Linked DNA regions of Drosophila melanogaster. The protein of the gene in region 1 interacts with the protein of each later gene in a pairwise test. Each region holds a gene or a part of one and is shown in the gene's direction. Other genes may lie near its edges.

Evidence for each region.
Region 2: the proteins of Tm2 (region 1) and CG18764 interact in a two-hybrid assay, tested with the Drosophila melanogaster proteins (one large-scale study listed by BioGRID).
Region 3: the proteins of Tm2 (region 1) and wge interact in a two-hybrid assay, tested with the Drosophila melanogaster proteins (one large-scale study listed by BioGRID).

The regions. Positions count from the first base shown.
Region 1 is NT_033777.3:15,304,878-15,315,110, forward strand, and holds the start of Tm2 (tropomyosin 2), read left to right. Parts: upstream 1-5,367; 5' UTR 5,368-5,422; intron 5,423-5,799; exon of another isoform or gene 5,800-6,196; intron 6,197-7,157; exon of another isoform or gene 7,158-7,317; intron 7,318-7,498; exon of another isoform or gene 7,499-7,522; 5' UTR 7,523-7,575; coding exon 7,576-8,169; intron 8,170-8,231; coding exon 8,232-8,409; intron 8,410-8,713; coding exon 8,714-8,796; 3' UTR 8,797-9,143; intron 9,144-9,650; coding exon of another isoform or gene 9,651-9,733; 3' UTR 9,734-10,233. Other genes in the region: Tm1 (tropomyosin 1), read left to right, coding at 2,713-2,798. UniProt on the Drosophila melanogaster protein: Tropomyosin, in association with the troponin complex, plays a central role in the calcium dependent regulation of muscle contraction. May also regulate motor systems required to maintain nuclear integrity and apico-basal polarity during embryogenesis.
Region 2 is NT_033777.3:11,623,074-11,633,306, forward strand, and holds CG18764 (uncharacterized protein), read left to right. Parts: upstream 1-3,815; 5' UTR 3,816-3,920; coding exon 3,921-4,037; intron 4,038-4,092; coding exon 4,093-4,979; intron 4,980-5,052; coding exon 5,053-5,163; intron 5,164-5,221; coding exon 5,222-5,336; 3' UTR 5,337-5,379; downstream 5,380-10,233. Other genes in the region: CG14711 (uncharacterized protein), read left to right, coding at 338-472, 528-653, 713-1,221, 1,284-1,418, 1,477-1,587, 1,645-1,762; CG6813 (uncharacterized protein), read right to left, coding at 2,438-2,552, 2,625-2,870, 2,930-3,342, 3,403-3,513; CG14712 (uncharacterized protein), read left to right, coding at 5,868-5,941, 6,008-6,175, 6,245-6,647, 6,711-9,866.
Region 3 is NT_033777.3:22,716,579-22,726,811, reverse strand, and holds the start of wge (winged eye), read left to right. Parts: upstream 1-5,661; 5' UTR 5,662-6,288; coding exon 6,289-6,733; intron 6,734-6,794; coding exon 6,795-6,941; intron 6,942-9,470; coding exon 9,471-9,605; intron 9,606-9,761; coding exon 9,762-9,878; intron 9,879-10,144; coding exon of another isoform or gene 10,145-10,147; coding exon 10,148-10,233. Other genes in the region: RNF220 (ring finger protein 220), read left to right, coding at 543-1,739; Irp-1A (iron regulatory protein 1A), read left to right, coding at 2,288-2,300, 2,361-2,453, 2,525-2,694, 2,761-3,490, 3,553-3,653, 3,717-4,488, 4,553-5,382.

The DNA.
Region 1 (10,233 bases):
ATTTATACTTTAATATATACCTATACAATACATATACTATACAATACATACCATGCTGCTGCAATTGCACAAATAAAGTATTTTTCGAAAAACGTATGCCCCGCCCATCGATCGTCCAGCGTTTAGTGTTCGCCCCAACCCGACTCTGTACGTGTGCCCGCCCCACCCGCATTTGGCCACCACTGGAGGTTCTATCGCCCTGCTCTCTCTCTCGAATCTGCTCTAATCCGACTTTCTAACCCCTTGAACCACCACCAAACCACGAAATCACGAAACAACCACACCCATTCGCCACGCCAGACGAGATGATCAAAGAGATCGAGCACTATGCCCTCGTCGGCGACCAGCTGGACTGGACCTTCGTGGAGATGATGGGCATGCCGCCATTCTACAACGAGCGCTACCCCAAGCCGCCCACACCGGAGCTCACCGAGGAGGAGAAGGCCGCCCTGGAGGCCGCTGCCATTGCCGAGGCCGAGGCGAAGGCTAGGGCCGAGGAGCTGGCTGCCCTCGGCGAGGAGGCAGGCGCAGAGGCTGGGGAGGGTGGTGCACCGGCGGAGGGCGCCGCTCCCGGCGAGCCTGGTGCAGCAACTGAGCCCGGCGTCGAGGCACCACCGGCCGAACCCGAGAGGATCCCCACGCCGCCACCACCACCACCATTCGAGTACTCCATCGATTTGCCCCCAGAGGGTGCTGAGGTGCCGTACGTTAGGAACGCGGAGCCAGGAGACTTTGCTCCGCCCGCCGAAGCAGCACCAGCTGAAGGAGCCCCACCAGCCGAGGGAGCACCAGCAGCGGAAGGAGCCGCACCAGCCGAGGGAGCACCCGCTGCAGAGGGCGCTCCACCGGCAGAAGGAGCACCAGCACCTGCACCTGCTGAGGGTGAAGCTGCTCCACCAGCACCGGCTGCCGAAGGGGATGCCGCCGCCGCACCTCCACCACCGCCGGCTGAGGGAGAGGCTGCTCCGGCACCAGCCGAGGGCGAAGCACCACCTGCCGAGGCGGCTCCTGCTGCTGAAGCACCACCTGCTTAGAAACCCCGAACATGTTTTATTGCGATCAGTGAAAATAGATGAAAGGATCTCTAGAAGGATCTCGGCGTTCAAGAACTGGCCAAAGTGTTTTCCTTCTCACTAACTATTCAAGCCCCAAACTCCCGAAATATTAATTGATAATCCGAAAATGTAAATAAGCTACGGTGTATATAATTTGAAGTGTTCTTTTCCCACGAGAATGTCATTTTGGTGTTTCGCGCCTTGTGAGCCCCTTCGCTTGCAACTCCTACCCGCCATCGAATCCCTCTGTTTCCCACCCAAGATTATTCAGTTTAATTTTCAATTTACGCTTCTATTCCGTTTCACGTTTTATTTTATTTTTCTCTATACTCTATCCCCCGTCACCATCGCTTGTATTGCTTTTCTCACAAACATCTTCGCATACCGATCCTGAATCGCCATAACCAGACGACCTAATCGTTGAAAAAGAGCGCTATTGCATGATTGGCGACAGCCTGGACGAGGCCTTCGTGGACCTCATTAAGGGTCTGGAGCCGTTCTGGAATCCGCGCAACCCTAAGCCGCCGACTCCCAAGCTCCCGACGCCCACGCCAGAAGAACTGGCCGCCATGGAGGAGGCACGAGCTGCGGCCGAAGCTGCCGCAGCTGCAGAAGCGGAAGCCGCAGAAGCAGCTGCAGCGGCTGGCGAAGCCGGACCAGATGGTGCGCCCGCTGCACCCGGAGAGGAAAAGGCACCGGCCAAGGAACCCACTCCGCCCAAGGAGCCCACTCCTCCGCCACCACCACCACCGCCATTCGAGTACTCGATCGATCTGCCCCCAGAGGGTGCCGAGGTGCCCTATGTCAAGAACTACGAGCCACCACCACCCGGATCCGAGCCAGAGCCAGTGCCAGCCGCTGAAGGAGAGGCTGCTCCGGCGGCGGAGGGTGCTGCTCCTCCGGCTGAGGGTGCTGCTCCACCCGCAGAAGGCGCTGTTCCTCCAGCTGACGGTGCTGCTCCGCCAGCTGAGGGTGCTGCTCCTGCTGCTGAAGGCGCTGCTCCTCCTGCTGATGGCGCCGCTCCTCCAGCCGAGGCTGCCGCAGCTCCAGCTGATGCAGCGGCTCCAGCTGCCGAGGCTGCTCCAGCTGAAGCACCTGCAGCCGAAGCCACCGCCGCCGAAGCTCCTCCAGCTGAAGCAGCGCCCGCCGAAGCGGCTCCAGCTGCTGCTGAAGGCGAGGCTCCCCCAGCTTAGGACCAGCTCGCCACATCCGCGCCAGAAATCGCTGCTGCACTTCGACGAAAGAGAAAACCACTGCTACCACATGCTGCCCTGCTTTTAAAAAACCTAGTTAAGAGCACGTTTTTTATTTTTGAAATAACTCAAAACGAAATTGAATTAAACATTCAGTTAGCCAAAGCATTATAAAAACGAAATGCTGCTTTTATTTTCTGTTCTTGCAAACTTTTTGATTTCCTTTAACCACACAGCTAGCACAACTTTGCGAACTCAACTGCTGGCTATTATTTATTTATTTTATCCGAAACCGAGGTAACTATCATTGGTTATTTTTTAAGTTATAAGTTTTTTGTGTAAAGGTCTCAGTTTGTGTCAGGTTTTAAGTGTAATTTTAATGATTTTCAATGAATTTATTTTTATTAATTTTCGTTCCTTACTCTTGCGTTCTTTTATGATTTCCCAAACAACAACTTGAACAGACGACCTCGTCCTGGAGAAGGAGCGCTACAAGGACATCGGAGACGATCTCGACACCGCCTTCGTCGAGCTCATCCTCAAGGAATAAGCGACAACCCGACCTTGACGGACCCTCGCACCCAGACCAAAATCGATCCGCACAGCTATATTTTTGGGCGGCACACCTTTCGATTGTTTGTTACTGTAGTCGCATAATCGTAGGCCCACTGTACTTGTATCTAGTAGCCTGCACTTTTGATTTGTGTGTTCGTAGATGGATAGTTTGTAGATTGATTTTGATCGCGGACCAATTAGAGGGAAGCATCGATGTAATTGTGTATTTGTTTGACTCAAACGTTTTTTATTTATTATTTGTATCCAAACTAAGCAATAAAGCAATCAACTTAAAAACATAAATCCCTATAAACTTGTCACATTTATTTTGTTTATTCCACCTGCTGCAGACGAGGTGAGCAAAGGTAAGGAAAAGTACAAAACCATCGCCCAGGAACTGGAGTACGCCGATCTCAACAACTACTAAGGGAATGAAATCCACTTCATGGGGAGATGAGCAGCAATCACTATGATGAAGACAAATGGAGTCCGAACGCATTCGACGTCCGAATTACAAATTATTTTTAGCATAACACTTCTTCGCCTAAGCATTCCCAAAAAAAAAACAACTTTCTTACATAAGAGCAAGAGTTTTACAATAAAGTAAAAAATACATTTTTAGCAATTACTATTGAAATTTATATGGAGCCTAAAGTTAAAACGAGTTGTGTAACGAAAAGAAACGCTGCCATTTTCCTTGAAACTAAAATTCCAGCTCGAAAAAGTATGTGTAATATTTTGAATACAAAACCCCAGAAAGCCCACCACTCAATATCGTTAATCAGCATCTTCAAATAAAAAACTCAGTTACGCTTAAGCCAGAGTCAATTTTTCTCAACTTTCTGTTGCTTGTGTGTTTTTATGGCAGTTCGCGAAGTGTATCTACAAAATTTCTATGGCCTTTGTATATGTTTAAACAACAAGAATAGGAGATATATTATTAGAATATATAAACGAAGACATATAAATTAAATTTACACATTTGTCATAGCTTTTGTAATTCTATGAAGCGTGCAAAACAAATATAACAATGTATGTATTTTTCTTTTTCAACTCAATATTTTTACGATCAATAAACTGAAATCATTCTTTTGCATATAAAAAATTTCATGGATTTTTTATTTAAACGGTGGGTTGCATTAGTTAAATAATAAAAATATGCACTGATCATGAATCGAATATAAAGGACATAAAGTGTCCTGTTGGTTTCAATCTGCCGGAATATTGTGTATCCTTATTAAAAGTTAATATTGAAATCAAAATCAAATCATGCTTATATCCCAAAACTTATAGGATGTTTTTATTTGTGTTGGAATAACCATATTTGTCACATGTGTGATATTTTAACTCAACATTAAATATTCTTTGGAGCTACATATATAAAAAAAGTTTAAAATAAGCTTAAAGAAGAAGGGTTTTGAAAAATCGAATTTGAAAACTGAATACGTTTGCTCGCCAATTAGTTGTTTTTGAACAGTTTTGAAAATATGAAGTTTCAAACATTTTCCTAAATCAAGAAGAGCTATAAATCAACTAAAATTTGAAGTTATAAAAGTCTATAAATAAAGTGCACAATATTATTGACTTATGTAGGTTTGGCTTTTAAGTAAAATTTATTGCTGAACGAGAATAAAAAGATCGGGAGTACATATAAGTGTAATCCAGAGACTATGAGACATTTGGTGGAATCTTCTTGATATATAATAGTATTAAAGAAGATGTTACGTCACAGAAATATTGAAAGAAGAAGAAAATTGAACTGGATTTTGAGATGAATTGCTAAATGGATTTAGCGAGGTCGGACATATAAATAAAACCCACCATATATATTTATCTTTTAAATATACCTATATAAAAATATACATATATCTATAGAATTTCTTAGTTTAGAGTTTTGATAACAATTTTTCCATATCGTTACTTAATTGGTTATTAAAATAAATAAATTATAGATTTTATTCTTCAGTTATATAGTAAGTTAAGTGGTTTTGTTTTAGCAAAAAATCGAACGGGGACAATTAACACACAAGAAAATCGGATCAATTGCCTTGCATTCGAGACTTTCGAAAGCAAAAGAACGGCAGGAAAACGCTGGCCGATCAAAATTCCAAATATTTCTCAATATTTTTTTACCGAGCGAAAATAGATTTTCATCTTGTTGGACTTTTGCTCTTGCTGCTTGTGGCTATTTTTGGCCGTGTATCTGACGGATACACGCACACACACAGACAGCGAGAGTGCTGTGAGTAAAATATAAATTGAATTTAGATTTAAGAAGCAGAAAGAAAAGCGCATAAATTTCACGAGAATGCAGCCCAAAAGAGAGAGCATCGTATGAAGCAGCTTTTGGGGGAAATTTCGAGGGAAATTTTCGAGATCGCCGAGCAAAGTTGCGAAAGCGCCATTCCACATATACATTTATTAATGGGAAATTTTTGAGGCGAGAAATTATTCAATACCGCGTTGGTGTGTGCCCTCAGTGTGTGTGAGTTTTTCCGATTTTCCGAGTGGCAGTGTGCGTGTGCGTTGGATCTTGGGGTCGCTTTCTGGGCTAAGCAACTTGGTCAGCATCAGTGTTCTCGGGGTTTCGACAGCGTATAGTGTGTTTGAAACGCTAAGGTTGGTCACGCCAGGATTTTCACCCGACAAGAATTAACTCAAAATAAATATAATTAAATCGCTCGCCTTTGCTGCTAACCAAATTGGTATTTTCAACTGGATTTCGAGTGGATAACAAAATTGTGATAAGTGCATGGCATTCAAAATTATAAATTTTGAATTTTCCCCAAACGGGAAAAAAAAGGAAAACCTTGTTAAACTTAAATAAAATGTGCATATGTATATGTGTCAATTAGCCTGGATATAAAGTTCTACAAAAAGTTAAATGAGTGATCCAAATGTAATGGAAGTGAAAATTGCTATAACTAAAAAAATGAATATCTCTAAAAAACTTAAAATGAACGATCTAAACTACTTGAAAATGGAGATCTTATGATCATTTTTCGGATATTTTCAAAATTCGCTTATAAGGAATTTTGTAACTAAATCTGACGGCACCAATACCATCCAATAAATATCTGTGTGTGTGTGAGAGAATTTTTTTTTGCACACACACACATGAGCTTCATTCGGAAAGCTCTACACGAATGGGACACATATACATATGCACCTTACACACTTATGGCACGCACAATTTTCACACACACAATCACACTCGACCGATAAAGTTTTCCTCGAAGAAAATTCTTTAAAATTAACTGCAGACAGACACCTGCCTGTCACACACACACAGACATACGCATTTATTTTTAACTCTGCCTGAAATTTATACGAAAAAGCTTTTCCGTCTAGCTTTCTGTGATCTCAGAAAACGAAGGCAGTCGAGAACTATAGGTATTTATCCTTGAGATTGTTTTCGAGAGAGATATTTTGGAAAATATTAGAGACGTAGACGATTCCCAGATGCGGATACATATGGTATCTATCTGGGAATATATATATTCAAGGCATAGCCACCCACACAGAATTGTAGATTTCAGAGCGAATATTTCTAGCCATTCGTGAATGCGTCCGAAGGCCGCAAAATTTGCCATCTTTAAGATACATATTCGAACTGATTGAAAGCCCAAGTACCTTTGGCAATCACCAAAAATTTTAATGATGTGAAAACTAAGTAGCTATTTAACATATTATAAGTTATTTAAAGTCTTTAGAAAGAAATCCTTTTTACCTCATAAATCACATATTAAACATTGCTTATGTTTTTTTGGGTACAAAACACACATGAGTATCGCAAGACCTCCAAAAGATCAGCAACTACAACATAAATGACTTTGCCCCACTTTGGGTGGTAGCAACATAGATACACGAATTCGAATACGAATACGCCCACACACCAAATGACCCCAAAGAATTGAATACTTTTCAAATTGCAATCGGTGGCGAGCTATGTACATATATATGTGGGGTATTTCGAAATAATAGGGGGAAACTCTAGAATTACATTTAGCACACAATGTCCAAAAAAGCATTTCTCCTATGCGTGTGTGTGCGAGTGGACTGGATATTTTTTTCTCACATGCAAAAGCATATAAAGTTTATTTTTAACCCCACCGAATCGTGCAGCAAATAAACATATAAACATATAGCTCACCGACGGATCCGGATTCGGATTTTGAGTGGGCGTTTTGAAAATGGAAAATGAAAATTACGTGAGATCTTTTGAGAATGCTCGGCGTAGCCGCCAAACAAAATGTGTTTACATTTAATTCTCAAATTTATTGCACGAACACATATGCACAGCATATAGATATATACAATTTAATTATACCTATGGATAACCTATAGAATGCGCCTGGATCGTTTAAATAAACCGATTTTGTCTTGCAGCGGAAACATAAAAATTCTAGAAGTCACAGTAAAGAAACAAAAATGTATAGTCAAAAGAAAAATCCAAGTTCAAAAAATCTGTAATTTATGAAAGGAAATAAACATTGGAATATCTTAGGACCAACGTATATATGTTATAATATATTATTAAGCGGTTCAAAGCTACAATTAGATTTAAATAAAAAAGTCATACATTTTATTAATTATATAATATTATTATTATTATATTATAGTATATATAATATTCTATGCCTTATGAAAATTGCTCCTTAAAAATTGCACATTAAGGATTCAGTTATTCAGCTTACTCATTTGTATTATTTGGCACAGTGCTTTTTTCCAGTTTTCTTCCCTTGTAAGTCAAAAACAAAAACACAAACACCATGGACGCCATCAAGAAGAAGATGCAAGCGATGAAGCTTGAGAAGGATAACGCCATTGACAAGGCCGACACCTGCGAGAACCAAGCCAAGGATGCCAACTCCCGCGCCGACAAACTGAACGAGGAGGTGCGCGATCTGGAGAAGAAGTTCGTCCAGGTGGAGATCGATCTGGTTACCGCCAAGGAGCAGCTGGAGAAGGCCAACACCGAGCTGGAGGAGAAGGAGAAACTCCTGACCGCCACCGAGTCCGAGGTGGCCACCCAGAACCGCAAGGTGCAACAGATTGAGGAGGATCTGGAGAAGTCCGAGGAGCGCTCGACCACCGCCCAACAGAAGCTGCTGGAGGCCACCCAGTCGGCCGATGAGAACAACCGCATGTGCAAGGTGCTGGAGAACCGTTCCCAGCAGGATGAGGAGCGCATGGACCAGCTGACCAACCAGTTGAAGGAGGCCCGCATGCTGGCTGAGGATGCCGATACCAAGTCCGACGAGGTCTCCCGCAAGCTGGCCTTCGTTGAAGACGAGCTGGAGGTGGCTGAGGATCGTGTCCGCTCCGGCGAGTCCAAGATCATGGAGCTGGAGGAGGAGCTGAAGGTGGGTCCTCAAGAGAAATCCTTCTGTTCTCAAACCACTATTCATGGTGTATTCCCAACTAGGTTGTCGGCAACTCCCTGAAGTCCCTGGAGGTGTCCGAGGAGAAGGCCAACCAGCGCGTGGAGGAGTTCAAGCGCGAGATGAAGACCCTGTCCATCAAGTTGAAGGAGGCCGAGCAGCGCGCCGAGCACGCCGAGAAGCAAGTGAAGCGCCTGCAGAAGGAGGTCGACAGGCTAGAGGGTATGTATCCAACTTCCTACGCCCCTGGCACATTCACTCAGCCATTTTCCGCGGAGGTATCTCTCCACGGGACACCGGAGATGCTGTCCACCGGAAGTGATCCGCCTCGAACGGCCGGATCGCTGGCTTCAACTAATGCTCGCATTGTATTTATCGCCATAAGGATATTAATAATTGTACTTAGTACTCTGCTTTCATTAATTGACGTTCCACATTCACACATCTCGCTCGCTCGCCCTTTTTTTTGAATATCTCTCTATATATATATTTGTATAAATGAACAACAAACAAATGCTTTTTGCAGACCGTCTCTTCAATGAGAAGGAAAAATACAAAGCAATCTGCGACGATTTGGACCAGACATTTGCCGAACTTACTGGATATTAAAAAAGATCACAAACAGAACTCACACAATGCCCTTGCCTCCCCCCCCCCCCAACCGCCCCTTGCCCAACTCCCCCAAAAAAAGGAACACTCTCAGTACATCCCGAATCCCACACAGTTTATTATATATATATATATATATTCTATATTATATTTTTGGAACGATTCCCCCAACAGTTTCAGTGTATTTACCACCCAGCCCAACACGCCACACTTATCTATACACTGTAAATAATCTGTTTAGTCCCGCTTGAATGTGGCCACACCCACACGACCAGTTCCCTACGCCAGTACACTGTAAAAATAAGTTCAGATCAAGCCAAACCAAGTTGCAACTGTAGTTAATACAGGTGAATTTATCAATGTAAATATTGTTGTTTGTATGCCAGATTCTTACCCGTTGTGATGTGGCATGACCTCTTGACCCGTCTCGCCTTCGCACTCTATCTCAGTCTATGTCTCTATGTCTCTCTCTCTCTCTCTCTCTCTATCGTCTCGTCGATCATCAGTGGCTTTCGTTCGAGCCAATTTCGCCCAGGCCTTGGTCGAGGGATTCTCTCAAGGATTGCTGCAACGATTGGTTGGATAGATCATGTCCACATCCCGTAGAGCACCCCATAGATAGTCCTGTCCCCCACCTCCCCTGAAAACCCACGCACAGAACCGCTGACTAACCCAAAAGATCAAAAGATAGAAACGCCTGCCAGAACAGCGCGCCACTAATCCTAATCAATAACTCCATAAACTTGGTACACATGGTGTAAAGTTTGAGTGTTTTTCGTTTCAATTCCAATGTTAAAAAACCATATTTTTGAATATTTTCTAACGCATTTCCAACCACCATTTGCACTCCGCAGACGAGTTGGGCATCAACAAGGACAGGTACAAGTCCCTGGCCGACGAGATGGACTCCACATTCGCCGAATTGGCTGGCTACTAAGTTGGCCAACAGTCCCATTATACCAAATCCACACCAGCAGCGGAGGAAGATGGAGACGACGACGAGATGGAGAACTCTACTAATTGTAAACGAATATCTCAAATTGATTTGGCCAACACGAAGATCGGCGGCCGCAGATACCAAGAACAACAACCATTGTGTATGCAATTCTTTATAAATCTATATATTTCATAATAAATAAATAACAACAACAAACAGATCAACAACAGCAACAAAGCCAACGAGCATAGAAAGCAAATGGAAATTCTTTTGTTTTATAAAAAATAAAATTATCTAAAGTCAAAAGTAGCAGAATGTATAAAGTAAACAAAACGAAAACAAGAACACGAATTTTGTATTTTTAAAATCAATGTTTAAAAATATTAAGAAGCGCTTGCAGTCAGGCAATAAGAGCGAGAGAGCTAGAGAGAGTGCCCAGGAAAGAGACGGGGCTAAATTTAAAATTTTAAGATCGCGCTGCCTGCTTTACTTTCAGTTTA
Region 2 (10,233 bases), 3.7 Mb from region 1:
TGCCGATTCAAATGCCAGAGCAGTGAATTAAAAGTAAAAGGGTTGTCAGGTACGCGGAATTAGTAACAGTTTTCAACTATCATTCCAAATTTTTTTGCATTTAGTTCTAAAACTGTATTTTTATTGCGTGACTCAAGCTTAAATATTTAATAGGGCCCACCTGTTAGTTTAAAAAAAAAAATTAAGATTTAATTATTATCAATTATTCAATCGATATGCCGATAGCAAGTTCGATAGCCATTTATCGTTTTGCGTACATGACAACCCTGGGAAAAGTTCCAAGACGCTTGTTTATTTCAGAATTGCAAGCATACGTACGTCCAGGACGTGCAAGATAATGCCCGAGTACATGTTGTGCCGAATCTGCTTGACAGAGGACATCAACTCGGAGGCGATGGCGCCCCTGTTCGATGACAACGACGCCCAGTGCCGGGAGCTGGTGCGCAAGATTGAAGAAGTGGGCAGCATAAAGGTACATGTGGATGCAAATGTAAAATCCTGCGACTTAACCCACTCTGTGCTTTCAGCTGGTGCCGCTGCAGAACATCCCCAGTATGTTGTGCTACAGCTGCGTGGAGCGACTGACCAGTGCCCACAAGTTCCGGGAGCTTTGCCAGGAGAGCGAGCGCACATTTGCCACCAATGTAGTCAAGGTACGTATAGAGTTGATGGGCCACATATAAACATCCCACTTGACCCGGTACCATGTCAGGCCGAGATGAAGTCGGAGCCAACGGACGAGGTGCCGCACGTAGTGGCTGACAACATTGAGTACATCTACGAATCGGCCAACGACTTCATCGACGGTGTCGAGGATGACATCGGAATGGAGAACATCATGGAGGAGCCCCTGGAGGATGGTGTCGGGGAAACGTCGCAGGCCTACGAGACTAGCACTGTAGTGGACGACCTGGACGAGGATGACTTGCTGGTGCCGAATAGCACCGATAGCGACTACCAGCCCATCGAGCGCTGCCGCAAAGCTAAGGTGCGTAAAACGCGGATGACTAAACGTGGACGTGGCCGACCTCGCGGTGCTAGCTCCGGACACCCACGCAGTTTTAGCGAGGAGCGTCCGCCTGTTCAAGCTAGCTTCAAATCATCTCCCGAAGTATCCTCCACGAACATTATGTGCGAAATCTGCGGCAATATCTACTCCAAGCGAGCCGCTCTCAACATTCATATGCGTCGTCATATGGCCGAGAAACCATTTAAATGCGAGTGAGTATCTGAAATTATCATCTGAACCATTTTATATTATGTAAATCTTATTCCGCTTACAGAATATGCAGCAAATCCTTCGCGGGTCCATCCGAGCTAAATCGCCATATCCGCGTTCACACGGGCGAGAAACCATTCTTGTGTAAATATTGCAACCGCTCGTTTGCGGATCGCAGCTCCAATATTCGTCATGAAAGGTGAAGATGCAATTCCTCATAGTAATCTTCATATAAACTATACTTGTTCCTTTTGCAGAACACACACAAACGAGCGACCTTTCACTTGCTCCACATGCGGCAAGGCATTCTCCTACTCTAACGTGCTAAAAAACCATATGCTCACCCACACGGGCGAGAAGCCTTTTCTGTAGGTCCATTGACTGCTTTAATCATGTATAACCCTAAATTCCCTTTAATTTTTCAGCTGTCGAGTCTGCAATAAGACCTTTTCCCGCAAGCACCAGTTGGATCAGCATTTGGGCACCATGACCCACCAACAGACTGTAATACACCACAAAAACGAACGGACGGGGCGCTATTAGTCGAAAACAATGCAATACAATTTCTGTTAGATAATTCATTAATGTACATTTAATTATATATAAAAATTGTAAAATAAAAAAGAGTACAAATGGTCAGACCGGATGTGTAAAATAATCGGATTTGATTTATTACTATTTGGTTAAAGAACTTGTTCAAAAACACAAATATTTTTTGTAATGTTTTTTATTACGTCCATATATTCGAGAAAAAAATTGGAACACGATTACAATCTTTGATTTTGTGCGTTTATTTGGTAGTTTTAACATCATTTTGGCCATTAAATGAGTGTGCGTTTTTTATTGTTTCTTTTCTTTGTGCTCTGTCGAAGACTTTGTTACCGTTTGTGGAAGCTACAACATGGAATAATAATCGAATGGCACAGGATTAATTAAATCTTCTTTTTTTGGACAAGTAAATATGTTTTGTTTTTTTAGGTTTATAACTTGTAACGTTTTACATCAAAATCTAAAAACGTTTGGAAGTCGGGAGGGATGCGGCTCTTCTTCTATTCCTTAGGGAAACAAAAAGTAAAACCAAATATGCTAGATATTCGCATAAAATGGATTTATGCGAATACCTGTACTTAAATGTACGTCTACCTTGTTAAAGAAAAGGACGCGGAATTTTAGAATTCTTACCGATAGCTAATTAGTGTAATGGCTAGATAGGCAGCTTCATTGTTCAATGGCTAGCTCCGTGAGTTTCTCTTCTTTGCGTTTATGAATATTGCTGGACAGGTGGGTCATCAAATGGGAGATTCGTTTGAAGTGCTTCTGACATACGTAGCAGCTGTAAAATCAAAGTGTGTTGAAACGTGTAATACAAATAATGTGCAGAGTTGGCAGAAATCGAAATGCCCACTAGTGATTCCGCGCATCCACATGGATCATCTTGTGCTTCCTGAGACATCCGGAGCTTACAAAACTCTTTTTGCACGTGTCGCACTCGTAGCGGCGTTCGTTCCGATGGCGGCGATGGTGCTCCTGGCGAGCGCCTGAAGAGGAGAACCGACGTGGACAGTAGACGCACACGTATGGCTGCTCGCCCGTGTGGATACGCGTATGGCTAGTCAGTTCCTTTCGAGTTGCAAAGCTCCTTTCACAATTCCTGAGGAGAAAAATCGTATCTTAGGTGCACTAGCCCAAAGGAGGTTAAGGATAATTTACAAAAAAACACAGTGGAAATTCTTGATGCCTGTGTGCCGGAGCGTGTGCTCTTGAAAGTTTGACTTATTGTTAATGATCCTTCCGCAATCAGGGCATACATATGGACCAGTACCTCCTCCAATTGACTTTTGATGGTTCAAACTAGTCGGTGCTGAGACCTTTTCAGCACTTGGCATTGGAAGATCTTTGACTTCAGGACATAGAATGGACTCGTCCAACTCACTCTCAATTTGGTTATCATCGATGTCTTCGTATATTATTGGATCTGTGGAGCAATCCTTGCTGTCGCACTCAATCCTTTCCAGATTCTGTTTCTCGGCAATGATGCAGCGCTGGCGGAACTTAATGGCTGCCTGCAGATTGTCCAGGCAAGTCGTGCACATTTGGCCGGATATTTCTTTCTTGCAGCTTAGCTGGAAAGTATAAATAGCAAATTAAGTGCCATGATTAAGGAATATTTTTAGACATATTACCTCCACCCCAGTAATGGAGTGAATTTGACGAACTAGATGACCGTTTCCTGGACCAAAAAGGTCTATTGGGGCATCTGATCTAGAGCAAATGCGGCAATTCAGAATTCGCATCTCGACTTTGATTTGTTTTTGAATAATTGTTTACTGTTTACGTTTCGAGCAGCTTATGCGAAATGTGTCGTTAAGCTATTTGCATGGTCACTCTAACTTTTGCACGCATAAACGCTGTTTAGAGTTTTTGCACAGGGATTAGTACCTTATGAAGTAACATAAATACAAATATGTTTTATAATCTCATTTAATAAGAGTACCATAATGGTTTACTGCACTTTTTAAATCATTTAAGTCACACAATGGCATTGCCGCACTTATCGATTTTGTCGATAATAAAACCAGCTGTTGCATCACAATATATATACATACATATGTGTAGTGGATGCGTTTACAAAACAATTGGTTGTTTATATTCGAATTAAACTGAAGTTGGGCTAAACTTCGGTTGATTTTCAACTAACATTATGGCGCTCCAGTGCCGGACCTGCGGCAGCATCATCTACAATAAAATGCCCAAGAATCTCTTTCATATTGAGAACGAGAAGATGCTGCAAGACATAAATCTTGTCACTGGCACAACAGTATGTAAGAAAAATGGTTTCCATTTGATTTGTGCAGCATTTTCTGTGATTGCAGCTCCACAACGATCCAGAGCTGCCCAGCAGCATATGCGCCTGCTGCACGCTTGACTTGAACCAAGCGATTTTGTTCCGGGAGCGGTGCATCCTAACGCAGAAGCAGCTCGTCCATCGTCGTAGATCTCCCGAAGCGAAGGAACCGGCTGAAGATGTTGAGGAGATGGCATCACCGCCGGATTGTCTGAACGATCCATTCGGGGAAGTCGATGAATACATTGTGGAATCCCCAGAAGAAGTTTTGGATCATGATAGTGATGCTCATCATGATCTGGATGAGGATAATTATATTGATTCTGTTGAAGATGTTGATGCGCTTCAAGATATGGCTGAAGTAGCCGAAGAGGATTCTCAAGATGTCGAATCTCTGATCTCAAGTGTACAGAAAGAACTTGAGAGCATTTGCAACGACGACAGCAACTCGGATAACAACGATTACATGGAGCCCCAAAACGGTTCCTATTTCAATGAAACTATAAACGAATATGAAGTATCATCGAACCCAAACACACCGCTGCCCGAATCGAAGAGTGCAGCAGGTCGGTCAACGAAGCCAGCGACCACAAAACCCAAGCGGAAAAAACAGTACGTTACGTGGAAAAATATGACCGAGGAGCAGATCATAGAGCGTAAGCGACTGCAGCGTAAACGCGAGTGTGTTTGCGAACAGTGCGGCCGGCAATTCACCGACCAAAGCAATTTCAAGCTTCACATGCTGCGGCACACGGGCAATAAGAACTTCGCCTGCCAGCAGTGTGGCAAGCGGTTCTACACCGACCATCTCATGACGCTGCACCAACGAATCATTCACCAGGGCGAGAAGCCATACGACTGCCGCTTTTGCACCAAGTCCTTTCACAATAGCAACACTCGCCTCATCCACGAAAGGTAAGGGACGTATCCTTGTATCCACTACGGATTCGGACATTTCTGAGCTCAAACCAAAAAAAATCCTTTCTAGGACTCACACCAATGCCAAACCCTACAGCTGTCATCATTGCGATAAATGTTTTAAGTCAGCTTCGGGACGCAAGCGGCACGAACTAATCCATACAGGAGTGCGAGCCTTTGCGTGAGTATTTTTTGACTAGGCGTTGGTATTCCAAAATTTAATACAATTCCCTTTGCAGCTGCACCATCTGCAAACAATCCTTCCAGCGCAACACTCACTTAAAGGCCCATCTGCGATCTAAATTTCACACTGCAAAAGCGAAAACCATTGGTGCGGAGGTACTACAATTATAAGCTGATATAGTATTTAAATTAAAAAACAAGTATTAGATATAAGAAATAAAGCAATGTTTTCATTTAATTGGAGTGCAAACATTTAAATTGCGATAAAATTTTATTAACCCGATTTAATAATCGACACATGCTGCAGTGCAGCCCTGCCAATAAGTATCCAAGGTGGCAATCCTGACATATTTCAATATAAATTTGGAGTGAAAATAAGAATTTTTATTCAAGTTTACACGTCTGCCCGAAACTTCCAAATACATTTGACGGAGAAAGTATTAAACATTATTTTTTATCTTTAATCGTTTATTTAGCCAAAGGCTTAAAGATTTTGGTATATTTTGGCGCTTCACCAACGGTCACACAGTAACCATTTCCTATGAAATTCACATTGCATTTCTCTTTAGAATTAATAAAACTAAAAAAAGAAAGAAACGAGATTGCACACAATCGTTTACGACGAAGCTTGATTCACCCGCCAAAAGTGTTCCCCTCCGCCCGACTGCACTGTGAGAATACCGGTTGTTGACCTTCGGCAGCATGGAGCGTCGTCGCTTTAACATGAGCAGCATGTCACCCATGGCGGATTCCACGCGGATTGACGCGTCGCTGTTGTAAGACACCACCTGTCCAACTGGATTCTAAGCGGTTACTAATCAAATTTGCTCTCCTTTGTTCAGAAACAATCGTCCGGCGGCCAGTAATTTCCTGAGGGGACTGAGTCCCAAGGGGTCGAATACCTCGCTCAATGGCACACGCACTCCGGAGCGGTCCTTGATGAATCGCTCTGCCACATCGTCCAGTACCATAACGCGACAGAAACTGAACCTCAGTCAGGTTGATCCCAGGTAAGTCAAAGCTTGTGTGCCATTTCACGATGTGACGAAAGTGCAATATCAAATTTTCATACCTTTCAGAACCTTTGCCGATGTGCATAGCAGCGGACTGTCATCCCGGATCGTGGCCTTAAGCGAACGCAGTGGTCTGCAACGCAGCATGTCCGCCAGCAATCTTTACAATCCCTTGACGCAGCCGCGCAGAGCGCCCGCTTCCCCGTTGCCCTACAAGTCAAGGGCGCCGACGCTTTCGATCACGCAGATTGCACCACCGGAGCGCAGCTTTTATTCCGGAAACACGCTGTCAAGCCTGTTGCGATCCAACTCCTTGGTAGGGTTAGTGCCAAAGACCACCGAACAGGAGCAGCTTTCGAGAGAGAATCGACCCATATTGCACCCACCTCATCCACAGCATGAGAGCGAGCCAACTAGAAGCGTGTTGGAGGAGCTTAAGGAGATCTCCCGAAAGCGCATCAACACTGAAGTAAGTATAAGCCATCAATCATCCTATGAGAAGATCACCGGCTTACACTTGGCTTGCTTTCAGGATACGCAACAGGCTCAAGACTACACGAAAAGGAGTTGCCAGCAAAACGTGGACTTTGTGGACTTTGTGGCTCATCACCGTCAGCAACAGAAACTACGTAATTTGCAGCAACAACAGAATCAGTCCTTTAAAAGGCAACGAGAGCTGACGGTATCGGTTCCGCTCAGGCATCATTCGACATCTTTGTCGGCTGCTTCTCCTGCATTGCAACATATGAACTCGAATGGAACCATCTCCCCAACACAATCTCCGGAGCAGGTAGCCAAACGTCCCAATTGTAGCTACAGCAACGACATCACTTCCTCGCTGAGTTCCAGTTGCCGTCACAGCAACAAGAGGAAGCTGTTGGACATGCGAGAAAGGTTTCAGCACAGCAAAAACGACACACTAGCTAGTGGAGGAAGCTCGCCTGAGAACTCGCCCGAAAATGTTGCCAAAATTCAACGTAAAGTTGATGCAGAAGCTGTTAGCAAGGCAATGAGCATGCCCGTCGTGACTGTGGCGGCAGTTCCTGCTTCACGAGCCATTTCGGCTCCTGCCATTCAAAAGGCAGTTCCGCAGGTGACGGAAAAACCTAAGCTTACACTCTTCAATGCGCGACAATCTCAAACGATAGCGGAACAGCCGCGACCCGATTTGAGTAGCCCGGAAGTAGATGCCGGCGAATATGCAGGCATTCAGTTCGTGAAGCCTAAACAGCAGAATTCCATGCTGGCTGCCAAGAACCCTAGCGTAGAACGCACACACAAGACCAAACTAGCCATTATGCTAAGTGGATTGAAGGGCGAACTGTACCTGGGTGAGCCGGACGAACTAGATGCCCCAGCGCCGAAGTCAGCGCCAGCGCCTGTGACGCTTCCTACTCCCGTCAAACCCATCATCATAGCTCCTGTAACCACATCCACTACGACCGTTACGTCCACCGCAACCATATCAACTTCTGCGCCCAGCAAGCCGATAATACTAAGTAACCAGGTTATAAAGCCAGCAGATGTGCCAAATACGAATAGCACTGGCTCAGTGCCCAAACTTGTGCTTGGTCAGCCTGCGCCGCCCGCTAAAACGGAACAAACACCACCAAAACCCATCGACAAGGTCCCGGCAGCACAAGCAGATATCCCACCCAAGTTTGAGCTATCAACCAAACCCGTTACTCCAGCAACATCATCTCAACCACTAATCAGTTTTGGCACACCAAAATCCACAGCAGCACCATCATTCTCGTTTGGAAGTGCGACCAATACCACTAGTAGCACTATTGCTAATATCACCAATACTACCACATCAAAGCCCATATTCTCGTTCGGACAAACGCCTGCCAATGGTCCCACAGTAGGCGGCCTTTCTGGATTCAAAACTGAAGCTCCAGCAACAACTTCGGTTAGCACAACTAATCCTGGGACACAGGTTACATCAACAACTACTTTCGGAGTGACACCACCCAAAACGACGACTACAGTTGCTCCGACTACAACTGTATCGCTAAATTTCGGCCAGCCGATGCCATCATTTGGAGCAGCAGACACGGGGGTGAAACCGATGTTCTCCTTTGGTAAATCGAACAATTTAAGTTCAGGAACTCCGACAACAAATGGCAGCGATGCAGCTGCCGCCAAGCCTGCTGTATTCAGTTTTGGAGGTAGCACCACTCAGCCCGCTGCAGCTGCACCGACACCGGTATTCGGAAGCCTATCGAAACCCCTAGGCGAAGGTTTTGCATCGCCCGGGGCTAACAAATCCGAGACAACTAAGCCGAGCATTTTTGGCAATTTGGACAACGGACTTGGAAACGCAATGAAGTCATCAACTAATGTAGCAGCCACAACCGCCGCCGAGCTTCCCAAGCCATTTGGCTTCGCAGCTACAACAACCGCTGCTGGCGGAGGATCAACTGCCACAAATCTCTTTTCATTTGGAGGGACGGCCACTTCAAAGGCAGCGGAACCAGCTCCAGCTAGCCAAAAAAACCTTTTTGGACTAAATGCAACCACAACTACGCCCTTTGCATTCGGAGGAGCAGCAGCGGGCGCCGCAGATAAAAGTGAAAATAAGGACAACAAACCAATTGCATTTGCATTTGGTGCAGGTAACAACAGTGCGGTAGCCAACCCAAGTGGAGTATTTAGCTTTGGTGGCACGGACAAGAGTGCACCACCAGCCTTTGGCAGCGGAACAACATCTGTTACATCTGCCACAGCAACACCGACGAACAACACCTTTGGGTTTAGCACGACTCAGAAGCCTGCAACACCAATGTTCGGAAGTGGATCAACGCAACAGTCTTCGACACCGGCAGTGGCAGCCACCAAACCTTTTACACTTGGTGGTGGGGCTCCTACTACACCGTCAGCATCTCCAGCATCTGGAGGATTCTCGTTTTCCGCCGTTGCGACCAAAAATACTACGGCGCCAACAGCAGGAACAAATTTGTTTGGCAGCCCCGCCAGCGCCAGCAAGCCAAGCTTCAACTTTGGAGGAAACACCGCCACCCAGGCGGCGGCAGCAGGATCACCAGCTGGTGGCTTCTCATTCGCCACGACCACCAAGAAGGAGGACTCAGCAAGCACCAATATGTTTGGGAGCCCCAACACCGGAGTGGTGAAGCCTAACTTTAGCTTTTCAAGCAACAATCCAACTCCAGCGCCTACCTTTGGCGGATTCGGTGCTCCAGCAGCGGCTGCACCAACAGCAACTTCAACTAATCAGAGCAAGCCCTTTGCATTTGGGGCTAGCACTCCGGCTGCTGCCCCCCAGCCGCCCTTGGGCGGCAATCTTTTTGCCAACGCAGTGTCTGCTACCCAAAACCAAACAAAGCCGTCAGGAGTCTTCTCATTTGGTGCGGCTAAGAGCACCGCCGGCACCACAGCCGGCAATGCTCCCTTCTCGTTTGGAGGCGCATCTGCTGGCGGAATCGCCTCGCCGCCCAGCAATCAGGGTTTAAATACCGCAAAGCCATTCAGCTTTGGTGGCGCTGGCGGCACTCCAGCCCCGAATGTCTTTGGGAGCCCAGCCCCTGCACCGCCAGCAAGCAATCCAACCGGGGGCTTCAACTTTGGCGGCGTCAGTCCGGCCCAGCAGGCGAATGCCGGCAACATGTTTGCCCCCACACCGGAGAGTCGTCCGATACGAAAGGCCACTAGGCGTCTGCAGAAATAAGTCCGCTTCAGAAGTAGCTTAATATTGTGTTGCTAGTAAAATTATTAATTATACCGAAAAGTGAATGGCTAAAAACAAGTAGTAGGCAGTACGCTTTTTAATATATAAATATTAATCGACTCTGGTTCGTTCTGTGAAATGTAATTGACAGACTTCTTCTTAAATTGTCACTAAATAAAAATAAATAATTTATAACTATTATAAGTAACGCAAAAGCAAATACATGTTATTGAAACGAATATGAAGATTTTCAACGTATCAACGTTCAAACACTTTGAATTTCATTTGGAATATTTTCCCGTGACTGATGAACTAAAAAAGAAACGCAACATTAATTTCATGCTTGTATTCTTTACTTTTATTAAAA
Region 3 (10,233 bases), 7.4 Mb from region 1:
AAGCGGGGGCTGTGCTTTATAAAAATTTCCTAACAGTGAGGGAGAGACACTATCTGTCACATGTTATATCGGGCATGTAAACAACGCAATCTGATAATATATATATATTGCTGTATTAAGACCAACCAGAGTAGAGTAAAAATTAAGAAATCAGTACGTTTAATTATTTTATTGTAAGACTTAAGGTCAAAAGAGTTGTTGGAATGCAAAATGCAAACTTTGAAGTTTTAATTAACACGGAATTCAAACAAATAATCAATTATTATAAAGATATTTTTAAGTGAATAAAATTTTAATTATTGCTTAAGCATATTAATCACTGTGCTTGGCGCTTTTGTAACGGTTTTACGATGTATATCGCAATGACCACTTCCACTGACACGAAAAATAACGAAATCAGTGTGACCGTTTTCCACCGTACGAGAACGTAAGAAATCGGCGTCGCGTGGCTTGGACAGAGATTATCGAACAAAACAAAATCCGACTACAGAATCTTTTAACTTCGTTTACCCTTAAGAGTCCGCGGTGGATCCGAGGAATCGATGGCTACGGACACGGTGTCCAACGGCGAGAACTTCGCCCAGCACTTGAGCAGAAACAGCGACGACGACGTGATCTGTCCCACATGCGACGTGAAGATCAAGCGCAGTCAGGTGGCCGATCACTGCCAAGTGGAGATGGAGCGATTGCACAATCCCATTAGCGCTGTCACTCCACCGACCCCAACTAGCGGAGCAACCGCGTCCGAGGAATCCGGTTCGGTATCGGGGGGCAGACAACCGTGGAGCGTGTTCCAGCGGGTGCAGCGCAATCGGCAGGCCCGTCAGCGCCAGCGCACCAGGAAGCGTCCGGCTTCTCCTGCCCCACCAGCAACTGTAAATCCTACGGTAGCAGCTGCTCCTCCTCCAGCTGCAGCAACTCCGTCCGTAGCTGCTGCCGAATCGAGCCAACCCACCTGTCCCGTGTGCAACCACAACTTTCCGCAGTCCAACATCCAAGAGCATGTTAATCATTGCCTGCGCCAGAGCCGCCGCAATGGTCAGGCCAATGGTGAGCGGCATTCGAGTGAGGACTCGGAGGACAGCGAGGAATATGAAGAGTACGAGTGGGCGGGACAGAAGCGCATTCGCGTCTCCACTCTCGTGCAAGGAGGCTATTCCGCCCTGGGCCTGGGCCAGAGAATCAAATACAATGGCAGTCAGCAGGCGCAGGACGACGAGGACGAAGATCTCAACGTGGACGAGGATGACACTCACATCTATGGTCCTACGCAGTATGGCGAGGGCGATGTGATCCCACTGGTCAACGAGGACACAGAGGGAAATGTTTCCGAGGCGGATGTTACCAGCTACGTGCGCCGACTTATCTCCTCCAGCGATGGGCCCAAGCCAAACCATTCCAGCGAAGCCACCGAGCAAGAGCCTGCCAGCACAAGCAACGTGGAGGCTCCACCAGCCAGCGAGGAGCCGTCTACGTCGCGGTCCACGCGATCCACCTCCCAAAACCAGCAGCAGATCATCGAATCGCTGAAGGCCAAGCTGCGGCTCTACGAAAAGCAGGCGCAGGGCAAGTACAAGTGCCTGATCTGCATCGACGACTACAAGAATCCCGCCATCTCCGTGTCCTGCTGGCACGTCCACTGCGAGCAGTGTTGGTTGCAGACGCTCGGCGCGCGAAAGCTGTGCCCGCAGTGCAACTCGATTACCACGCCGAAGGACCTGCGACGAATCTACCTGTAGACGTCCATCACAGACTTGTTATCCCCGCTGCCAAATTGCTTGCGCCATAAAACAGGCTTTGCATCCCGACGCAGCTTTAGATGATAATCCCCTATACATATTATTTATATAGATTACAAATACCAATTATACTACGTGACATTACAATAAGCCTACCATGTAACTATTGCAATAAACCGCAGAAAACATAATTAATATTTAAGTTTATTTAACGAAATTAGCATGTAGGAAGGGAAAAGCGTTTAAAGACATGCAAACAAGTTATTTTAAATACCTTATTTTGAACTAAAATAAAAAAGCAATCAATCCAATATTATATCCAATATTATTTTCGAATCACAAAAATGATAAATTATTCCACTATAATTTACAAATGTTTCATTTTAAGTAATAAATAAATATTTTTTACTGTGTACCGGTTTGTTTTCATGTTCAGTTATCGATAATATAATGTTTGCGTTAGTGATGAGCAAGTTTTGCCTGGTAGCGGTTCCTCACGCGCTCATCTCTATATCACATTGCTTGGTTTTCTGTTTAATTTTTCCACAATGTCCGGCTCCGGTGGGATTTAATTGGAAAAAGGAGTATTTGATCTGTACGCTAATCCTGTCTTCCTTGCAGGCGCCAATCCCTTTGCCCAGTTCCAGGAGTCATTCACCCAGGACGGCAACGTCTACAAGTATTTTGATCTGCCCTCCATCGACAGCAAATATGGTTGGTAATCGTTATTGTTGTTCGTTATCATTATTGTTGTTATCTTTATGAATATTATTAACCCCCCACAGAGTCACTGCCCTTTTCCATTCGCGTTCTGCTGGAATCAGCGGTGCGCAACTGTGACAACTTTCATGTGCTGGAGAAGGATGTGCAGAGCATCCTGGGATGGACTCCATCGCTGAAGCAGGAAACCAGCGATGTGGAAGTCTCCTTCAAGCCAGCTCGTGTTATATTGCAGGTGTGGATTATTGCATCACATAGATTATGTTTGTATGTGACTTCTTAAGATATTCCCTGCTTTCAGGACTTTACTGGCGTTCCCGCCGTCGTGGATTTTGCTGCCATGCGGGATGCTGTCCGCGAGCTGGGCGGCAATCCTGAGAAAATCAATCCCATCTGCCCTGCCGACCTGGTCATCGACCATTCCGTTCAGGTGGATTTCGTTCGCTCCTCGGACGCATTGACCAAGAACGAGTCACTAGAGTTCCAGCGCAACAAGGAACGATTCACCTTCCTCAAATGGGGAGCTCGCGCTTTTGACAATATGCTAATTGTGCCACCCGGCTCTGGCATTGTGCACCAGGTTAACCTGGAGTATCTGGCCCGAGTGGTTTTCGAAAGCGACAGTTCAGCGGACGGATCTAAGATCCTTTATCCGGATAGCGTTGTGGGCACTGACTCCCACACTACAATGATCAATGGATTAGGTGTTCTCGGCTGGGGTGTTGGCGGTATCGAGGCGGAGGCCGTAATGTTGGGCCAGTCCATTTCCATGCTGTTGCCAGAGGTGATTGGCTACAGGCTGGAGGGCAAACTGGGCCCTCTGGCCACATCCACCGATCTGGTGCTGACCATTACCAAGCATTTGCGTCAGCTTGGTGTCGTCGGCAAGTTCGTGGAGTTTTACGGCCCCGGAGTGGCAGAGCTCAGCATCGCGGATCGCGCCACCATCAGCAACATGTGTCCGGAATATGGAGCCACTGTGGGTTACTTCCCAATCGATGAAAACACGCTGAGTTACATGCGCCAAACCAGTGAGTCAATCTTAAAAATTATCTAAATTTATTACTTGATATCCATGGATGTGGATCATTAGATCGCTCCGAGAAGAAAATCGATATTATCCGGAAGTATTTGAAGGCCACTCGACAACTTCGTGACTATTCCCTTGTGGATCAGGATCCCCAATACACGGAGGTAAGTGAGATTCTGTTTTTCCAATGCAAAGACATACTAACGAATCACTTTTTTACCCTGCAGTCTGTAACTTTGGACTTATCCACCGTGGTGACCTCGGTTTCGGGGCCCAAGCGACCGCACGATCGCGTTTCAGTTTCCAGCATGTGCGAAGACTTCAAGTCGTGCCTCATAAGTCCTGTCGGCTTCAAGGGATTCGCCATACCACCGAGTGCATTGGCTGCAAGTGGTGAATTCCAATGGGACGATGGGAAGAGCTATAAGATAGGTCATGGATCTGTTGTGATTGCCGCCATCACCTCGTGCACGAACACTTCGAATCCCTCGGTGATGTTGGGCGCTGGTCTGCTGGCCAAGAATGCCGTGCAGAAGGGCTTGAGTATTTTGCCGTATATCAAGACCTCATTGTCACCAGGATCTGGCGTGGTTACCTACTATCTGAGGGAATCCGGTGTGATTCCCTATCTGGAGCAGCTGGGCTTCGACATTGTGGGCTATGGCTGTATGACCTGCATTGGCAACTCGGGCCCGCTCGATGAGAACGTAGTGAACACCATCGAGAAGAACGGACTGGTTTGCTGTGGCGTCCTGTCGGGCAATCGCAATTTCGAGGGTCGCATCCATCCCAATACTAGGGCCAATTATCTGGCCAGTCCGCTGCTGGTGATTGCCTACGCGATTGCCGGCCGTGTGGATATTGATTTCGAGATCGAACCGCTGGGCGTGGATTCCAACGGCAAGGAGGTGTTCCTGCGCGATATCTGGCCAACGCGCAGTGAGATTCAGGAGGTAGAGCATAAGCACGTCATTCCCGCCATGTTCCAGGAGGTGTACAGTGAGTATAGCTAGCTGACTAAGATTTTTCCGCAGCTCTAGGCTAACTGTGTCCGCTATCACAGGCAAAATTCAACTGGGATCCAGGGACTGGCAAACGTTGGAGGTGTCGGATAGCAAGTTGTATCCATGGAGTGAAATATCAACATACATCAAACTACCACCGTTCTTCGAGGGTATGACTCGTGCGCTGCCCAAACTTAAAGGTATCGAGAAGGCTCGCTGTCTGCTGCTTCTCGGTGATTCAGTGACCACCGATCATATCTCGCCAGCCGGATCCATTGCACGAAAGTCACCGGCAGCGCGCTATTTGTCGGAAAGGGGTCTAACGCCGCGCGACTTTAATTCGTATGGATCCAGACGTGGCAATGATGCGGTGATGGCACGCGGAACCTTTGCCAACATCCGTCTGGTCAATAAACTGGCATCCAAGACGGGACCCAGCACACTGCACGTGCCCAGTGGCGAGGAGATGGACATCTTCGATGCGGCGGAACGGTATGCGAGCGAAGGAACACCTTTGGTTCTGGTCGTAGGCAAGGACTACGGCAGTGGCAGCTCACGTGATTGGGCCGCCAAGGGGCCATTTCTGCTGGGCATCAAGGCGGTGATTGCTGAATCGTACGAGCGCATTCACCGCTCAAATCTGGTGGGCATGGGCATCATTCCGCTGCAGTTCTTGCCTGGCCAGAGCGCCGATACCCTGAAACTGAGTGGCAGGGAGGTGTACAACATTGTCCTGCCCGAGGGCGAACTGAAGCCGGGCCAGAGGATTCAGGTCGATGCTGATGGCAATGTCTTTGAGACCACGTTGCGTTTCGACACCGAGGTGGACATAACGTACTACAAGAATGGCGGCATTTTGAACTATATGATACGCAAAATGCTGGATTAGTTAGTGCGTTCGTTGACTTTTATATTCCATATGCATTTCTAGGCGACTTTTAATTGTTATTATGTGCTGGGAAATAAAATTTGACATTCATCTGTGAGATGATAATTATTAAAAAAAAAATATTTCAAATATTTTATAATATTTTAAATTGCGCGCTCTGGATGTTATCGATAGCAGAAATGCCGATGGCCAAACCAGTCCTGCTAAAAATGCCTAACGCCTGCTGGTGAATCATCGACAAGGCAGCAATAAAATCGAATAGTCCCTGTTATATCGCTGTTAACTTAACATAGTTCGCTGCTTCTTTTTTTGTCCGTCCCGTGGACTTTTCTCCAGAGGATTTTGATTCCAATTCGCAAAAGAAAAACATAAATAAGCAACAGATCGTGTGTTGGCCAATAGCTCTGCAGCCAGTGCTCGATATTCACTTGGAAGAACCGCGCAAAAACGCAACAACGCAGCAGGAAAGTCGCGCCTCCGCCTCCCCACCAAAAAAAAAAAACACAAAAAAAAAGAAAAGATCTCGGATCGCACAGGGTTTTATTTTGGGCAACCGCACTTGGACTGGTGGGTGCTTCGGTTCCCTCGACCTGTGGATAGTGCCCAGTGGCGTCGCGTCGCTTTGGATTATGTCATTTGTTTATGGGGAATTGCCGCAGGCCCAGTAGCCAATGTTGCATCCGAAAGAGGCAGCGAAAACCTGTAAAAATGTAGACTGTGTGCGTGTGTGTGTGGGCCAGTGCTAGTGTGTGTCCGTGTGCCGTGTGTGTCCACGTGTGTTTGTGTGTGCGGATAATGGACGTTTAGTTTTTGGTCGAATCCGCAAGATATATAGTGAAATAGGTATAGGCTAGAGATCCCAGGGAGCGGTAGCCATACATATATGTGCACAGCCACCGCTACCCGATGGCCACGTTTAATCCTGGCGCCAGCAGCAGTGCCGCCGACGTTCTGAGCGCCACCACAGCAACGGCTACTTTTCTGGTGCCCACCACTGCGGCAGTATCGCATCCTGGTGCCCATACCGCCCATCTGCAGCTGGATCAATTCGGAGGCTTCTCCGCGGCGACGGCCACTCCCCTGCAGCACCATCACCATCAGCAGACCAACTCGTCGTACACTTTTGTGCAGATCAAGAGGGAACCCTGCCAGGTGTCCGAAATAAGCTCGAACAATTGCCACCAGCAACAGCAGCAACATCACCAACACCACCAGCACCAGGTGCAGCATCAGGGCCTGTCTTCCGCCTCGATGACCGCCTCCTCCAAGACCATGTCCTCCTCCACACTGACCACTCTCGTCAAAATAGAGGCTCCCTCGCCAAAGGTATCGGAATTGGAAAAGTCCACAGGTAGGTGACACCCAGCCACTGGTCAAGAGCACTCCTCATCGGTTAATTACGATTCTATCAGGCAACTCCGTTCCCATTGGCATCGCCGTGGCCAGGAAACGCCCGCAAGAAGCTCTGGTGCCGGCTATCAACACCCCCGCTACGCTGCCGCTGCAGCCACCACTCAACAAGGACTTGAACTGCTTCGGCATACGCGTCGCTGACCTCGGTGAGTGCCAAGCTACACAGAGAGAAATGCAGCTTCATCTCATGGAAATAATAAGTTCTTAGTGATATTCAAGGGGATGTAAACTGTTTTAAGGTATCTGCTATCTTTGAGATACCAAATGATTTACTTAAAGAATCATTAGATATTTCTAGATGCTGTTTTCCATTTGTGTTAAATGATATGTAAATTTAAGACAATCACTGTCTTGTGCCATACATTTTTTCCATCCGTGTAACTTCTGGGCATCTAATTCAATTGAGTCACCAGATTTGAGCGCCCCTAATGAACGGCGCTTCCCAAGGGACAACGTTATATGATGCTTATGATGCCAGGACGTGGACGTCGTTCAATTATGCCACTAATAAGATTGCCAACAAACGTTCAGCGCTGTGCGGAATTCCATCAGTGAGCAATGGCCGAGGGTGTCGTCTCCGCCTTAAACAACCCGCTGGAGTTTAGAGGGCAGGAATCATATGATGGCCGCCTGTTGTGCGGCTGTCGTTGTTGTGACAGCCACCGAATCGACTGGATTCGACTCAAAACGGCTCATCCCCATATCCATCCTCCCTTGCGGGCAGAAGGAAACCCGGTGGTAAATCATACGAACTTCTAAAGCGGAAGTGAAACGAAAGTGAAACACATTGCGATTTGAGAAGGGAGGCTTTGCGTCGCCTTGGCTCTGGTCGACTTGAAATTGCTCTTTAGATGGGCACATAAATATGTTTATATTTTTTTGGGGGTGTGTTTTGTCGCCGTAGCCAGTCGAATTACATTTTCCGGATTATTTTTAAAGTCTGCTAATGGTGAAATAATCAACCATGCCCATGACACGAACATGAACTTTATGATCTTGGATGGGTTACTTTTTCATATCAATCTATTTACAAAATAGTACCAGATGTGCCATAGCCTTAATCAAAGAGCAAGAGTACAGGAAACTGTGTACTTTGTTTTAATCACTACATGGAATTTCATGTTATTCTTTAAATGATAACGTCTATAAATGGTTAGAGCAATATGATGGCAGGGAAATGAATCATTACACTTAACTAAATGAATATATAATTTGTATTGCTTTGACTTTACAAAGTTGCACTTATTTTTTGTTATTTTTACCTGGAATCTCCATTTACTCATTTATTATTATCAACTCTGATAAAATTGAAGTCACAAGCTACTTTTTGCGGGGGTTTTTATTTTTATATATCTATTAAACTAGAAGTTCAACGCTGCTATAAAAATCCAATGCAAAAACAGATTGAAATTTTGTTTTTATATCTATTCTGGGTATTTCCCAGAAGTTCTCTTTTAGTAAGAAACTCTGACAGAACAGCTCATTCTCGATTGAGGGTGTTTATTTTCATGCATCAAATACGTTTTCCTTTTAGATTTTTAGAATGACTTCAGAAAATACATATTTTTAGCGGGTTCTAGTGCTTTTGAGTGCAGAAAAAAACCCTTATAAAGTAGGCGCATTACTTATGGTTCGGCAATGAGCAGAGTATCGAGGGCTTCGGCTTAGTTAGCATGCTCCAATGGAGCTGAAGCTAAAGTTCCAGTTGCGTGGGCGCCATTCAGAGGAACATCAGAGCGGGAATCCAAAGACAGATTACTCATGGACTCATGGTGCTCGGGTGGGTTGTTTTTTCAGACTTCAGACAAGGTAGCAGCGGTGGCTGTTGCTAGAAGTAGTCTGGAATCTGTGTGTGTGTGTGTGTGTGTGTGTGTGGGGGAACCAGGAACAAGTAAGGCATCACCTATAAGGGATGCTCGAGCTGGATGCTCGGATGCATGAGTGGTTCTCCGGGGATGGGAAACTAAAGGGGAACTGGGTAACAAACCGGGCGAATCATCCTCCAGGACACAGGACCTAGCAACATGACACGCCGAATTGGATTCAGTAGACGACCATATGGAAGAGTCTTCCTAACGTGCCGCTGGTTATTATTTTTTTTTTTTTTCCTTTCCTTGCCACAAGTCACATGCTATTTATAAACGTTTGCCTGGGTAGTTTCTCGGTCCGAAACAAATCACTTGTCAAAAGATGTAGCTCTAATTGCGTTTGCGGAGATGGGACACTGTCGAATACTTGTCATTCATTTCGATTCGAGTGCGGTGGTGGGTTTCCCAATTCAGAACCCATAATGTAATCCAATTACAGGGCATCACGTACGTTTTAATCGAATTTTTGTAGAAATTATCCAGCCACAGTGTCGGAAGGGGGTGGGTTATTCGAAACGATTGGGATGTGTGATAGTTGCCTGGTTGGCGTAGTGGTGGGCGGTTGGGTGGTTTGGGCGCACGCGGTCACCAAATGCATAGTTCAAGGACATTGCAATATTTCACGTATACATACACATCTTCGCTTACAACTTACAAGTTACACGGCAGGCCCGAAACTTTATTAAACAAACGAACGCCAAACGAATAGGTTGGCATATCTCTTCCCAGAATTCAATTTGAGAATCAATGGTTAAGGAAAAAAAAGCGCCCAAAATTCAACGAATCCTTTTTGCTTTTTACTTTCAGGTGCCACCAGTTGCGGCAATTTGTACTTTACTGGCAACGGCGACCTGATGACCACCGGCACAGCCACCGCCGAGGAACTGGCTCTGAGTGCAGCGGGTGTGAACCGGGCACCCTCCACTTTCTGGCAGTATCCAAGTGAGTTGTCCACGTTTAGAGCATGCTACAAGTAGATCCCCGGCAGAAATTGATAAATGCAAAATGTGAAAAAAAAATGAACAATCAGTGCTCACCGTCACACTCTGTCTCCACCTCTCTATTTTGGTTCTCTCTCTTTTCCGTTGCGTTTTGTAGATGCATTACCCATTGAATCAGTGATTTCCATGTCGCCCGCCACGGTGGGCCTGCAGTACTCGCGGGAGGCCAGTCGCGGACAGGTGGTGCTGCTGCCGGCCGGCCCAACAGCGCTCGGTAAGTGAGCCGAGATGATCGGCGACGATCTCCGCCATTCGCACTCCGCATGCCAGCACACCGGGACACCTACCTACCTAGGTGTTCTCGGTTAATTTGATTTCGAAACTTCGATACGCCAAAATAAAACTAATTCATGCTTTTAAACTGCGCTTCTCTCCCACCGCCACTCCCCCGACAACTCCAAACTCCAAAACTTCAAACTCCCGAAAACACCCGAACTTGAAACTCCGACTTAACTGAATCGCTACCACGACCATGCACAGCAGGCATATCAAATTTTCCCCTCTTAACGCCCACAGATCCGTTCCAGCAGGCAGCGGCTGCGGCGGCCTTCGTCTGGCCCTCGGCCTAC